3 linked regions of the Caenorhabditis elegans genome follow. The protein of the gene in region 1 purifies or fractionates together with the protein of each later gene. This does not show direct contact. Each region holds a gene or a part of one and is shown in the gene's direction. Other genes may lie near its edges.

What was found.
Region 2: the proteins of cey-3 (region 1) and ucr-11 fractionate together in Caenorhabditis elegans (co-fractionation; one large-scale study listed by BioGRID). This does not show direct contact.
Region 3: the proteins of cey-3 (region 1) and C52E2.4 fractionate together in Caenorhabditis elegans (co-fractionation; one large-scale study listed by BioGRID). This does not show direct contact.

What each region holds. Positions count from the first base shown.
Region 1 is NC_003279.8:5,571,203-5,574,689, reverse strand, and holds cey-3 (CSD domain-containing protein), read left to right. Parts: upstream 1-1,740; 5' UTR 1,741-1,772; coding exon 1,773-1,889; intron 1,890-2,007; coding exon 2,008-2,318; intron 2,319-2,364; coding exon 2,365-2,734; 3' UTR 2,735-2,894; downstream 2,895-3,487. Other genes in the region: rmh-1 (RecQ-mediated genome instability protein 1 homolog), read right to left, coding at 1-404, 471-606, 686-1,140, 1,187-1,447.
Region 2 is NC_003279.8:6,552,276-6,555,108, reverse strand, and holds ucr-11 (Cytochrome b-c1 complex subunit 10), read left to right. Parts: upstream 1-1,729; 5' UTR 1,730-1,737; coding exon 1,738-1,793; intron 1,794-2,058; coding exon 2,059-2,173; 3' UTR 2,174-2,275; downstream 2,276-2,833. Other genes in the region: tre-1 (Trehalase), read right to left, coding at 34-134, 180-208; Dolichyl-diphosphooligosaccharide--protein glycosyltransferase subunit dad-1, read left to right, coding at 820-1,030, 1,365-1,495; spg-20 (Inheritance of peroxisomes protein 1), read left to right, coding at 2,497-2,607, 2,658-2,782.
Region 3 is NC_003280.10:1,841,457-1,846,771, forward strand, and holds C52E2.4 (DUF38 domain-containing protein), read left to right. Parts: upstream 1-1,688; 5' UTR 1,689-1,756; intron 1,757-2,126; 5' UTR 2,127-2,132; coding exon 2,133-2,783; intron 2,784-2,830; coding exon 2,831-3,064; intron 3,065-3,528; coding exon 3,529-3,668; intron 3,669-3,715; coding exon 3,716-4,427; intron 4,428-4,487; coding exon 4,488-4,727; 3' UTR 4,728-4,781; downstream 4,782-5,315. Other genes in the region: C52E2.5 (F-box domain-containing protein), read right to left, coding at 1-299, 352-455, 544-768, 815-1,480.

The sequences.
Region 1 (3,487 bases):
TTATCAATAGACATAACTTTTTTAGATTTGTCAAAGGAATTTGTCGAATTGAAAGTCCAATCTTCGATCGTCTTGTTTTGCAGTAGACCTTTCTCGACCTGATTTGAAATGTTTTGGGACACTTTTGAAATCGAATTTTTATCAATTATTAATGAAGATAAACGCTTCGTTGGAGGTGGTGGGAGCGGATCTTGTGGTTTTGAACGCAATGGATAATGTTCAACAAGGCCCCGTACATGATGACTTGGTGGTTCTGGAGTTGGTTCTTGCGGAACTTCTTCGATTGAAAAATCCCAATTTTCAATAGGATCTGTTGGTTTCTCTATTTGAATGCTGGGAATAACTGCTACGGAAGATGGTAGAATACGTGACGCAGTAGGCACCAAAGACTGTTTCACCGGAACCTGTAATTTTCAGAACTGTTTTTAAGCCATTGAAAGAAGTGTAGTGGAACTAGATTAAATACTTACAGTGACCTCTCCCGTTATTCGACTTGTTTTGACTAAAAATGGAGAAAGCGATGATTGATTAAGGGAAAGATTTTTCTTGTCTATTTGTTTCTTGTTATTTCGTGATACAGAAGCAGCAGCGTTTTCCAGAGATGCTCTGAAAATTGAATTTACTAGAAGAATTAAATCAAGCTAAGATGATGTCTGATTTCTAATGTATCTAAGTGATAACTTACTTTCTTCGTTTCTTCTCCGCGTCTAAGTCAACCTTCAATGCATTTGATAATTGTGCCACTTTATCAAAACTTAGTGATTCCACTCGGCCGCCCAGAAAAGCACAATTAGATTTATCCAGTAGAAGATTTCCACGACGACATTTAACTTTTCCTGTGAGAATAATCTTTGCACCGGGTAGCATAATTTTTTCATCAAATACTTCGTCTAACTCGATTGCTTTCAAAGTATTCACACCATCGGTGAGCTCAATTTTCAGCATTCCTCGTTTCTTAATTGCATTTTTCGTCTGCGTATGATTCATGCGATCAGAGGCCACATCTTTTTCTTTGTCGCGATTTTCTTCTTCGTGATCAGCTTTGGATCCGCCATGAAACCAAGCCAAATCTTCGTTGTGTCGAGTACATTCTGACAATTGCTCGTACAAGGATGTTGATATATTCGTGGAGGAAATAACCTAAAAATATTCCTGTTGATTTTCGGCAGATCTTCAAACTAATAACCTGGAAAATCATTCTTTTAACAATGACAACTTTTACTGCGCTCGTTGGGATTTTCATGGTGGGATCCAAAGCTTCGGATATTTTTGAATTCAAAAACTGTTGTATGACAAGTTCACCAATCTGCTTCACATCAACAGTTTTAATTCTTTGTCCGAGTGATCCTTCGATATACTGGACGCATATTCTTAGCCATTCTCTCTTGAATGGGTAATGTTTCCTAGCAAGCCAAGAGAAAAGACGATCAAGTTCAGTTTCTTTCATATATTTTGTAGTTTTTATATGCGTTCGCTCTGCAAATACCAACAAAAAATAATGAAAATGTGTGTAACATTGAATAAGAAAACAAATTTGTTAACAAAAAAATGTAAGAAATGCGTTTAAAACCTTGAAGCGCCGCCAAATGTTTGATGTGCAGGTACGCTGGTTACGGTCGTACGGGACCACAGGCCCGCGAGCGTTTATCACTTAATCTGTCATTTTTCGACTTTTTTCTTTTCTTCTGCACGCCGTCGACCCTTGAAGCTTCAGTCACTCAATGTAGTCTTGTTTTTCAGTACCTCAAGTGCTAAGAGCAACTACGGCGAAAATGTCGGACACTGCGAATACTGCTGTCGAAGTAGATGAGCAAGTCATCGAAAAGAAACTCGACGATCTCTCCATCGGCAAGAAAAGATCGCCAAGCAAGGATGATACAAGCAAGCATGTAAGTTTTTTTAAAACTCACTTCTTTGGGAACTACCATTGACTGTTTTGAAGTAGTTCGTTTTCTTTATGATGCATGACGTGCTAATGTACAACATTTACAATTTTATGATTTTTAGCGTCTGCCAGCTGCCGAGCGCATACGCATTTGGGAGGAGGAGCAGAAGGCGAAGATTGTTCTTACCGCTGGACTTCAAGGAAAGGTGAAGTGGTACTCTGTACTTCGTCGCTATGGGTTCATTTCCCGTAGTGATGGAGAGAAGGATGTCTTCGTTCACCAAACAGCTATTTCCAAATCGGACACTGAGAAATTTTACCTTCGGACACTTGCCGATGAGGAGGAAGTGCTCTTCGATCTGGTCGATGGTAAGAATGGACCTGAGGCTGCAAATGTCACCGGACCAGCCGGGGTGAATGTTTCTGGATCGAAGTGAGTTATTGATTGACAAGTAAAGTTGGAAAACTAGTTACTTTAGATATCGCCATCAGCTTCTCTCTCGCTTCCGTAAGAATCGTAAACCGAAAATCGTTGTTGGAGAGGATTTTGATTCAAAGGAAACTGAAAAGCTTGTCGAGGCTCCGGCAGTAGCAATGGAGAAAAAGAAGCAAAGAAAGCAGCGTAAGAATAAAAACCGCAAACAGAAGGACCAGAAGGGAGCAGGTGATGCTGCCGACTCTTCTGCTACTACTGAATCTCTCGGGACCTCTTCCGAAACTGCTTCTCCGGACTCGAAATCCTGCACCAAGATCATCTCTGAGGAAGCTGGACTCTCCAAGATCGATCGTTGCGATTCTGCTCTCGACGATGCTGGCCTTGGTGCTCAGTTGATTGATGCTCAGATCTAAATTTCATTGCTTTGTGTTCCTGAATCTTTTGTACTTATTTATATAGCACAGAATTCTAGATCCCCGTTTCCTGCATGTTTTTATGTCCCCAAATCTGTTATTTTGTGTCAGCCTGTAAAGAGAAGTGTTCTTATAATAAACCGAAAGTCGGCAAAGTAAATAATTCTCTTCATCACCCGCATTACGATCTAATTTGTTTGGTATCGATTCTTACTTCTAAACGGTTCTCGAGCTTCATCTAGTTAGGTTTTTGAAAACGGAAATTTCAGAATTAGCTTTGGAAAAACTAGCGTAGGTATTTCCATTCGATGTTTGCTAAAGGTATAAATTTGCCGCGATAAGCAATAAAATAATTTGAGTTTTCTCCAACCATCTGATAGTGTGAAATTTGTCGTTGCGATAACTTTCAAAAACAGAAATAAAATCAATTATCAGTAGTCTTCAGCGTCGGTTTCTTATTATACCCGTTGAGTTTTGATCGATAGTAATAATTTTGGTCAGAAAATTATTGCAGTTTTTGATGTATACAATATTTTTTACGGTGTCCAAACACTTACGCCGCTCTGTAATACTAACGGAATACGAATTCTTTAGGTTAAGGGCAACTAGAAAAGAAGTCATATAATAGTTTCAAAACAGCAAAGTACATTTTTATTGAAACGCGGAACTTACACGCATAATAATCCTCTGAATGCCGTCTCAGATGTCTTTTTATTGAAGAATTATACTTCGATGTAATTTTCAACATATGCC
Region 2 (2,833 bases), 980 kb from region 1:
CGTAACAACAACATTAAAAACCAAAAACCTTACTTGGATCATATTTTAGTGACATATCGACGAAGTGCTTCGAGTCTGGAAACATGTGTGAATCTTGTACAGTTTGAAGAATTGGTCCATTGCAATAGATTTGTCTAGAAAAAAAACCATTTTTCAAGAATATTTCAAAGGAAACTTACGCTAGGAGGTTGATTACAGTGTAGAGCATAATTTCCTATAGGGGATGAAGAGTACAGAGAATGTTAATGACAAGGCATTCGGTCAGACACTAATTCGAATTTGTGGGCGGAAAAATTGGCAAAATATCGTTGATTTTTCTTCTTTCTTCTCTGATGTCAGCCGAGTGCCCTCAACGTCTCGTGTCTCACAAAATGAAAAATAAATCAACAAAACATGAAAGTGTGCGGCGCCACTGCAAAAGTGCGTGCCGCAGAGTTGCAATTGGGCGGGGACTTTGGTCCCGCAGCGAAACAACTAGCAAAAATGTGTGCTCCTTTAAACGCCGCCCGCCGCTTTTTACTTGATTGTTGTGCCACGTTGCTCTTTTTAAGCTTTTTAAATATTAATATTGTTATTTTTAAAGGATTTATACTTTGCGGGACATTTATATTCGTTAAATACAGGTCATGAAAGACATTTCTCTTTTATTATACTAGCAAAAATAAAAGTCTGAATGCTTTAAATTTTATTTTTTCATGAACATGTTTCAAGATAACTAGGTTGCATTTTCTAATTCAAAATTTATGTTTTTTCGCTCCTTTCTAATATATTTTATCTTATTGTTCTGTTGTATCTCAAAGATATTAAATTAATTACAGAATGGCGGCTCAAGTAGTTCCAGTTCTCTCGAAACTGTTCGATGACTACCAAAAGACAACATCATCGAAGCTGAAAATCATTGATGCTTACATGACATACATCCTGTTCACCGGAATCTTTCAATTCATTTATTGCTTGCTCGTCGGTACATTCCCATTCAACTCGTTCCTCTCTGGTTTCATCTCCACTGTCACTTCGTTCGTTTTAGCATGTGAGTTGTTTATTCAAAAAATTTGGGTTCAAGTATATTGGCAACATGAGTATTGTTTTCAGTAATAAAAGGTTAAAACGGTGATCTTTGTTTTCCTAAAAAGGGTTTCTGGGTTTCTTAATAGATTTGCGCTGATTTAAAATGTTTGGTACTTAAGCGAAATAAAGTAAATATAAATTGTATGTTCATTTGAGTTTCGGATGGACTGCAATTTTCACATCGTATCATAAACATTGGAAATTCCAATGGGCCCCCGCTTCAGCCCTCAAATGAATTGATAATAAATAAATGTATTTTTAAGCAATTAATTCTAAACGTTAATATTTTGTTTTAGCGTGTCTCAGGATGCAAGTAAATCAAGAGAACCGCTCCGAGTTCACAGCTGTCTCGACAGAACGTGCATTTGCTGATTTCATCTTCGCAAACCTCATTCTCCATCTTGTCGTCGTCAACTTCTTGGGATAAACTCTGAAAAGCTTTAATATGTATTTATTTGTTTCAATTCCTTCCATTAATTTATTTGTGTTGCAAAATGCCACCTGGGGTTTCGTTTCTCTTGCTGTGTTACACCTAATTTAATAAAATATGTTTCTGTTTTAATTAGAAGTTTTTAGTATTCAAGAAGAAAACTGCGTTATTGTCGCAAATTACTTTTGATGTGCACATTCTCATCCAGCTGAACAATTATAAACTAATCAGGTTGAATCATGCTGTACATGAAGCCAGCTCGTTTCGTGAAGAACGCCTTCACCAACCCTAATTAGTAAGTTAAATACTAAAAACGAAGAAGTTTAAGCATAGATTGTTTATTGAAAATACTTGCCACCGCAAAAACACAAGTTTTTAACTTCATTCCGATCTTTCACATCTAAATACAAATTGTAAAATACAAAAAGCAGCCCGCTGTGGTTTAATTACCTAGTCTTCTGCGAACACTCGCAATTTATTTGTTTTGAGTGTTTATAATAATTTAAACATTTTCACAATGAACGTGGATTCGGTTAGGATGTTCTATGATTTTCTTCCAGCTTCAAGTCGTATGGAGCATACGGAGGATCCGCTTTCCTTTTGGCCATCTACTTCTGTGAATGGAAAACCGTCGGACAGTACATCCCACTCTGGAACAAGCGTTACGTCGAATAGATTAAATCCTCAACACCTATTCCGATCGTTGATTGACTTTTTTAGAATTATGAAGATGTTTATCTTCTAGAATCTTTTTGCTCGGATAAACTTTCTATTATTGGCCTCTTTTTCGTTGAAAAATAGTTTATGCACAGTCGCTTAGCGCCGGGATTTCGAAATTGTTGTGACTCATAGCGAGCCACTGAGCAGAGATAGTAATTCAGAAGAGAGACGCCGACGACTAAACTTGTTTTCGCTGTTGTTGTGTGGTCTCTTGCATGTTTTTTTACTCGTGCCGTTTTTTCTCATTCGAATCACTTGTTTCAGTCAAATTTTCAGCAATGTTCTCGATATTTATGAGAATTCCTGATACTGCTCAGGTTGATGCAGTATTTTCTGGAGCATATGCATCAATTGAACAGGGATTATGCTACGATGAGGTTAATGATTGGGTATGTTTATTATTTTGAATGAAAACTTTGAAAATAATTGTTTTTTTAAGGAAAATACTCTCGCAATGTACGAAAAAGGATTGAATTTGATCGTCGAAGGAGAGAAAATGAAAAATGCGAGGAAAAGTGAAATGTGGAAAATGTTACAAGAATCAAAATCAAGTGTCCAGCATAGGTGAGTGATTTTGAATTAAAAACGTTGATAAAACCGCGAAAAAGTACCTTT
Region 3 (5,315 bases), on another chromosome or scaffold:
CGTTCAATGGCTTTAGAGTAGCACAAAGTTCTTTCAAAGCAGTCTTTTGATTCTTCAAAAGTTGAACCAAGTCGTCTGACAAATTGTTAATGTCCGCTTTGTGATCAATTTTCAAAAAGGAAGTGGCTACACGTGTACCAGGATATTTATATAAAATTGATGTGTTATTGTATCTGCCAAACACGTCAACTATTATGTATGCAGTTTTCATCGTAATGTTCATTGCCACCAATTTGGGGTCTGGCTTAAGGAAATCAACACAACGACGACTTCCACGAGAAACTCTACGAAGCACTACCCTGAAACATACGTCGTTTGTTTCTAAAAATGAACAAATTGGGCTGGACTTACAATTCAGCAAAATCAAAATGTCGAACAATTTTTTCCATAATCAGTCGGTTGGATAAACATAACATCGCTGATTTTGATGGCAGACTGGTTAGTACTTTAGAAGTCTGAAATAGGAATTTGTGTAGAGTCAAAATTGAAAAACTAAATTAAGCGTCGATGTACATAATTTACAATAGTTTATCAATTACCTACCTCCATACTCACATCGTTCTTATCAGAGATTTTATAAATATAAATTGACTTGCAAAACGATTCGTGGACAAACTCGATCTTATTTTCAATCAATCGAACTAGTTTCCCAGACTTATTTATTTGCTGTTCACCATATAACTTGTCCAAAAATTGTTCTGTGACGTGTTTGTTCAAACAGCTGTAGTCAATATGAAAATGTCTCGAACTTGGGGAGATGGAACAAATCTGCAACTGTTTCAAATATATTGTTTTTCAGAATTGCTCACGTTACGTTCACAAGCGTTTGTATGTCATCTGCTGAAATACGCTTGACTTTCAATGTTACATCTTCGCAGTGGCTGAAGTTTTCAAAAGGTATGTTAACAAAGAAACCGTAAAGGCTAATTATCTTTGCATTCTTCCAATGATCCATTTCCACAATACTTCCAAAATCTAATATCTTTTTAACCCGTTTAAAATTGAAGATTCTCAATTCTTTTATACTGGTTGGATTGAAAGATGTTAATATGGAATGCAGCTGAGAGACATTTTCAAATTGTAAATGGAGTGAGCGAGCATAAATTGGATTTTTTGTCGTTTGTGAATGATTTTTAAACTGTTCATAAACACAATTCGCAATTCCTACGGTTTCCTCATTGTGGTGGTTGTATCGTATACAAATTTCGATATCTTCCCCAAATCTGGCATTTGTCAAAAAATGAAATAAGTCTTCGCGCGCCACATCAATGTAGTTTTTGTCTTCAACTAGCCGCTTGTTGTATCTTGTTACTCCTAATAGTGTATCCTCTTCTTTATAAATATAAAATATATTGACCTTTTTCACAAGACTTTCAAATTTTAGTCCAAGTTGCACAAAATCGTTCTTTGACGCGAAAATTGTTAATTCCCTTATAGCGTCATTGTTTAAGACTTGCAACAATTCGAATGCATATGACATTGCTATCTGAAAAATTGAAAATTTAGAGAGATAATAGCAGGAAAGAAAATATTTAAAGACTGTAAAATATATCAAATAGCATACAAATGTAAGCAGGCAGAAGGTTATGAATATCGATCTCTTCGTACGCTCAAAAGTGTTTACTGATAAGGGGACTGACTTTTTCATGACAATAGACAACCACGTGAAAATCTGATAAGGACTACATTTGGTTGAGGTTGTATTTTTATTTGTATTTTTTAGAGTTATAATGCAAAATCGGGCTCCGCTATAATGGTAATATTTATTATGCTGTAAAGCAAATTTTGCTTTTTTCTTTCTAATTTAAATTATTTTATATTTTCTAGAATATTTCCTCAAATAATATTTGAATAAATAATCAATTATTTTTACATTTTGTCATTGTTACACATATTTTATTGAACTTTGCTTGAACTAGACCAGCATCCTGCGTACATCTTCATTATTATTAAGGTTCCTTTTTTTACAGCCCCCAACATACTACGCACTTGAATTTAGATTTGTTCTTACAAGTTTTTGCAGGAAATTCAAAAATTCTGGAAATTAGAAAAATATTCCAGAACCTTTTGGAAGACTAAAAAAAATCTTGAATTCTCTGAAAAGTTCTAATTATCTAATTTTTCAGAAATCAATGTCATATGCATTCAAATTGCTAGGAATCGCAAACGAGTCGACTCTAACCGTGTTATCTCTACGTCTTGCTTTCAATCATTTTGTAGAACTCAGATTGGAATTTGAGGAATATCCAAATAGGTCTACAATAATATATAGATATAAAGAAGACGACACGCAACTCGAATTGGCACAATACAAGAAAATCCTTCTGCAAGAGAAAAACTACATTGATGTTGTGTGCGAAGACTTGGCAAATATCTTGAAAAGCTCGAGGTTCGCCGAAAATATCAAAGTGCGAGTAGACTACTTTGACTCAGATTATGTGGACAGCGAACCGTTTGTGAATCGGGTTTATGAACAATTTCGGATTAACACGACGGAACTCTTTGCTTGCACGCTCCACCTGCAAGCAGATCATGTTTCTCAACTACGATTCGCCTTAAAATGTTTTAATCCAAGCAAATTGCTAAGATTGCATATTTCCGGTTCGAACAGAAATACGCTAGATTTAGAAGACATTGTGAAGATGGAGCATTGGAAAAATGCAAAAATCATTGAACTTTTCGGCTTCATTGTTTCCATACCATTTGACAATTTTCGCCATTTTGACTTTGCATTTTGTAAAGCTTCAAGAATATCTACAGATGACATAACGACGCTTGTAAAGGTAGAACTTAAAGTTTTGAAACTATTTTCTATTTCAAGAATTTGCAGAATGCTTCCAGTGCGTCACGTCTTCACACTTTTATAATTTACTACGTTTGTCTGGACGAAGACGTTACAGAATCATTTTTGAACAATTTGATAGGTGAAAAACGAATCAATCAGTCTGGTGAGGAAGTTCGATTTATTCAAAATGATCTAGAATTTGTGCACAAATCCAAAGGATTCAAAATTTTAACTCCCTCGCGTCAATTTTCAGATGGAGATAAGTTGTGGCCTGTTCAGGTGAGTAACTCTTTGTTAGAGGGGAAAAAATGTGCTCCTAAGAATCAATCAAAAATTTGAATCGCGAAAGAATTTTAAAAACCAACAGTTTTTCCCTGTTTGAATTCCCTCCAAAATGAAAACTGCGACCAATCAGCGATTTGCTCCACCCCTTTACCAACCAATCAGGTAGAGTGTGCAGAGTTCCAAGACGCTGATTGGTCCGAAATTGAGTGTGGCTTTTCCCAGACCAATCAGCGTCTTCGAACTCTACCCTCTTCGTCTGATTGGTTTGAAAAGGGGCGGAGCGAGTCGCTGATTGGTCGCAGTTCTCATTTTGGGGGAATTCAAAAACATTAACCAATCGTTGATTCTTTCGCGATTATTTTGGTTTTCTTTTGTGGTTTTTCTGAATCAAAGACAATATATATATTTTTTAAAGCAAAAAAAGCCAATTTATGCAACATTGGATAATTTTTTTACAGCGTCTTATGAAGGAATATTTTCTTAGCAAAATGCAACCCCACATTGATAGCAGGACGGAATCATCAACGTCGTGGTTATCATGTTTTCGGAACCCGGTGATAATGGAGCACATTGTGCATGGCCTCGACTTTTATGAGTTGTAAGAGAGAACTTGCTAAATTCTGAGCGCAACTCTCATACTTTCAGAGTAGTGCTCCGTAAAGTCTCTTATGAAATTCGCCAGTGCATTGAATATATCAAACCTGACCCCAAATTGGTTGCAATAAAAATTCGCGTGGAAACTGAAGTTATCTACATGGAAGTATTCGGCAGAAACAATCACAAAAAAATTGTATACACTCCTCGTCCTGTCGTACGGAGTGACAAAATGTGCCAACAGGCGCAAATGCTTGAAGCGGATATTAGAGATTTTTCAAACGATTTTTATACCATTTTGGAAAACCAGAAGTCTGTCTTGGAAGGGTTTCGTGTCATCCTAAAGCCATTCAATGGGTTACCTGAATTTCGTGAAATTCGCAAATTGCTGACTCTTGCCCCGAAGATCTCTTTAAATCAATTTATGATAAAACTGCTGGAAGGGATCATCAAACGGGTCGTTTTTCTTCCAGTAGAAAAAATGACCATTGAAACTGACGAGTTAGAGCTTATGGCTCGAATACTTCTACTCTCAGACTCCAGCTCGATAAAAGTAATTGAATTGAGAAGACGCTACCCGTCTGGTTTTATCTTAAATGAATTTATGGAACAGCTCGCAAGTCTGGCGCATTGGAGAAATGCAGAAGAATTTATGATCAATATTTTCCTGCCAAGTTCGAGCATTAAAACGGTAATTCACTTTGCAAAAGTCGATATAAGATTGGAGGCAATTTCAATGGAAGATGTTTTATATTTGAAGGAGGTTAGTTTTGCAGGTTTGATAGGTTTTGCAGGTTTGATAGGTAATAAACTTTTTTTTCAGAAATTCCTATTGTCTTCTAAATTCCGTCAATTCAAAGCCGAGTTCACCGACACTGACGTTGATGAATCCATTTTTGAAGTTAACTTTTTGGGAGAGCCATTCCGCAGAATCGACGACCCCACCACAAATTTACCGAACGTTTGGCGTTTCCGCTACCCTGGTTGCAGAGAGAACCTCCAAATCAGATATTACCAGAATCGGAAAATTTTTATGTTCAATAGAGTTCCTACACAATTTTGATGATGATTCTGAGATTGAGGCTTTGTTTTGTGAATAAATTTCAAACATTGTTTTCTGGCGGTAATGTTGGTAGAGAAGTAAATTTGAAAAAATGGTTATATATTGTACTGGGGCGGAAGTGTGCATGGCATACCAAAACAGACATAAAATTGGAACCATAGTAACTAGTGGAGAGTTATTTCCATTACACACTGGCGAAAATTCCTTGGTCGCAGAGAACCAATTGAATCGGAAAGAGGCGAACAATCAATTTGTTGGCTCAATAAATGTACAGTAAATTGTTAGAAAAAAACACAAAAGTGCAGCAATTTACATAACTTGTGAGCGACTTAGAACGGTGCAGTTTTTAATTTCATAAAAATTTATTTATGACTTTCACCCGAGTAATTTTAACCTCTACAAACTATCACATAATAAAAGAGAACTCTTCGTTTAAATCATCTACATCATCCTCACATCCAGTCATCTCCACAATGTTCGCGCAAACTTCAATAATGATACTGTCGTTCACCATAAATCTCTCCTCCATATCCTTCCATCTGATTCTACTTTAACAGCTAGCCTAACCCTAAGCCTACGCGCAAGCCT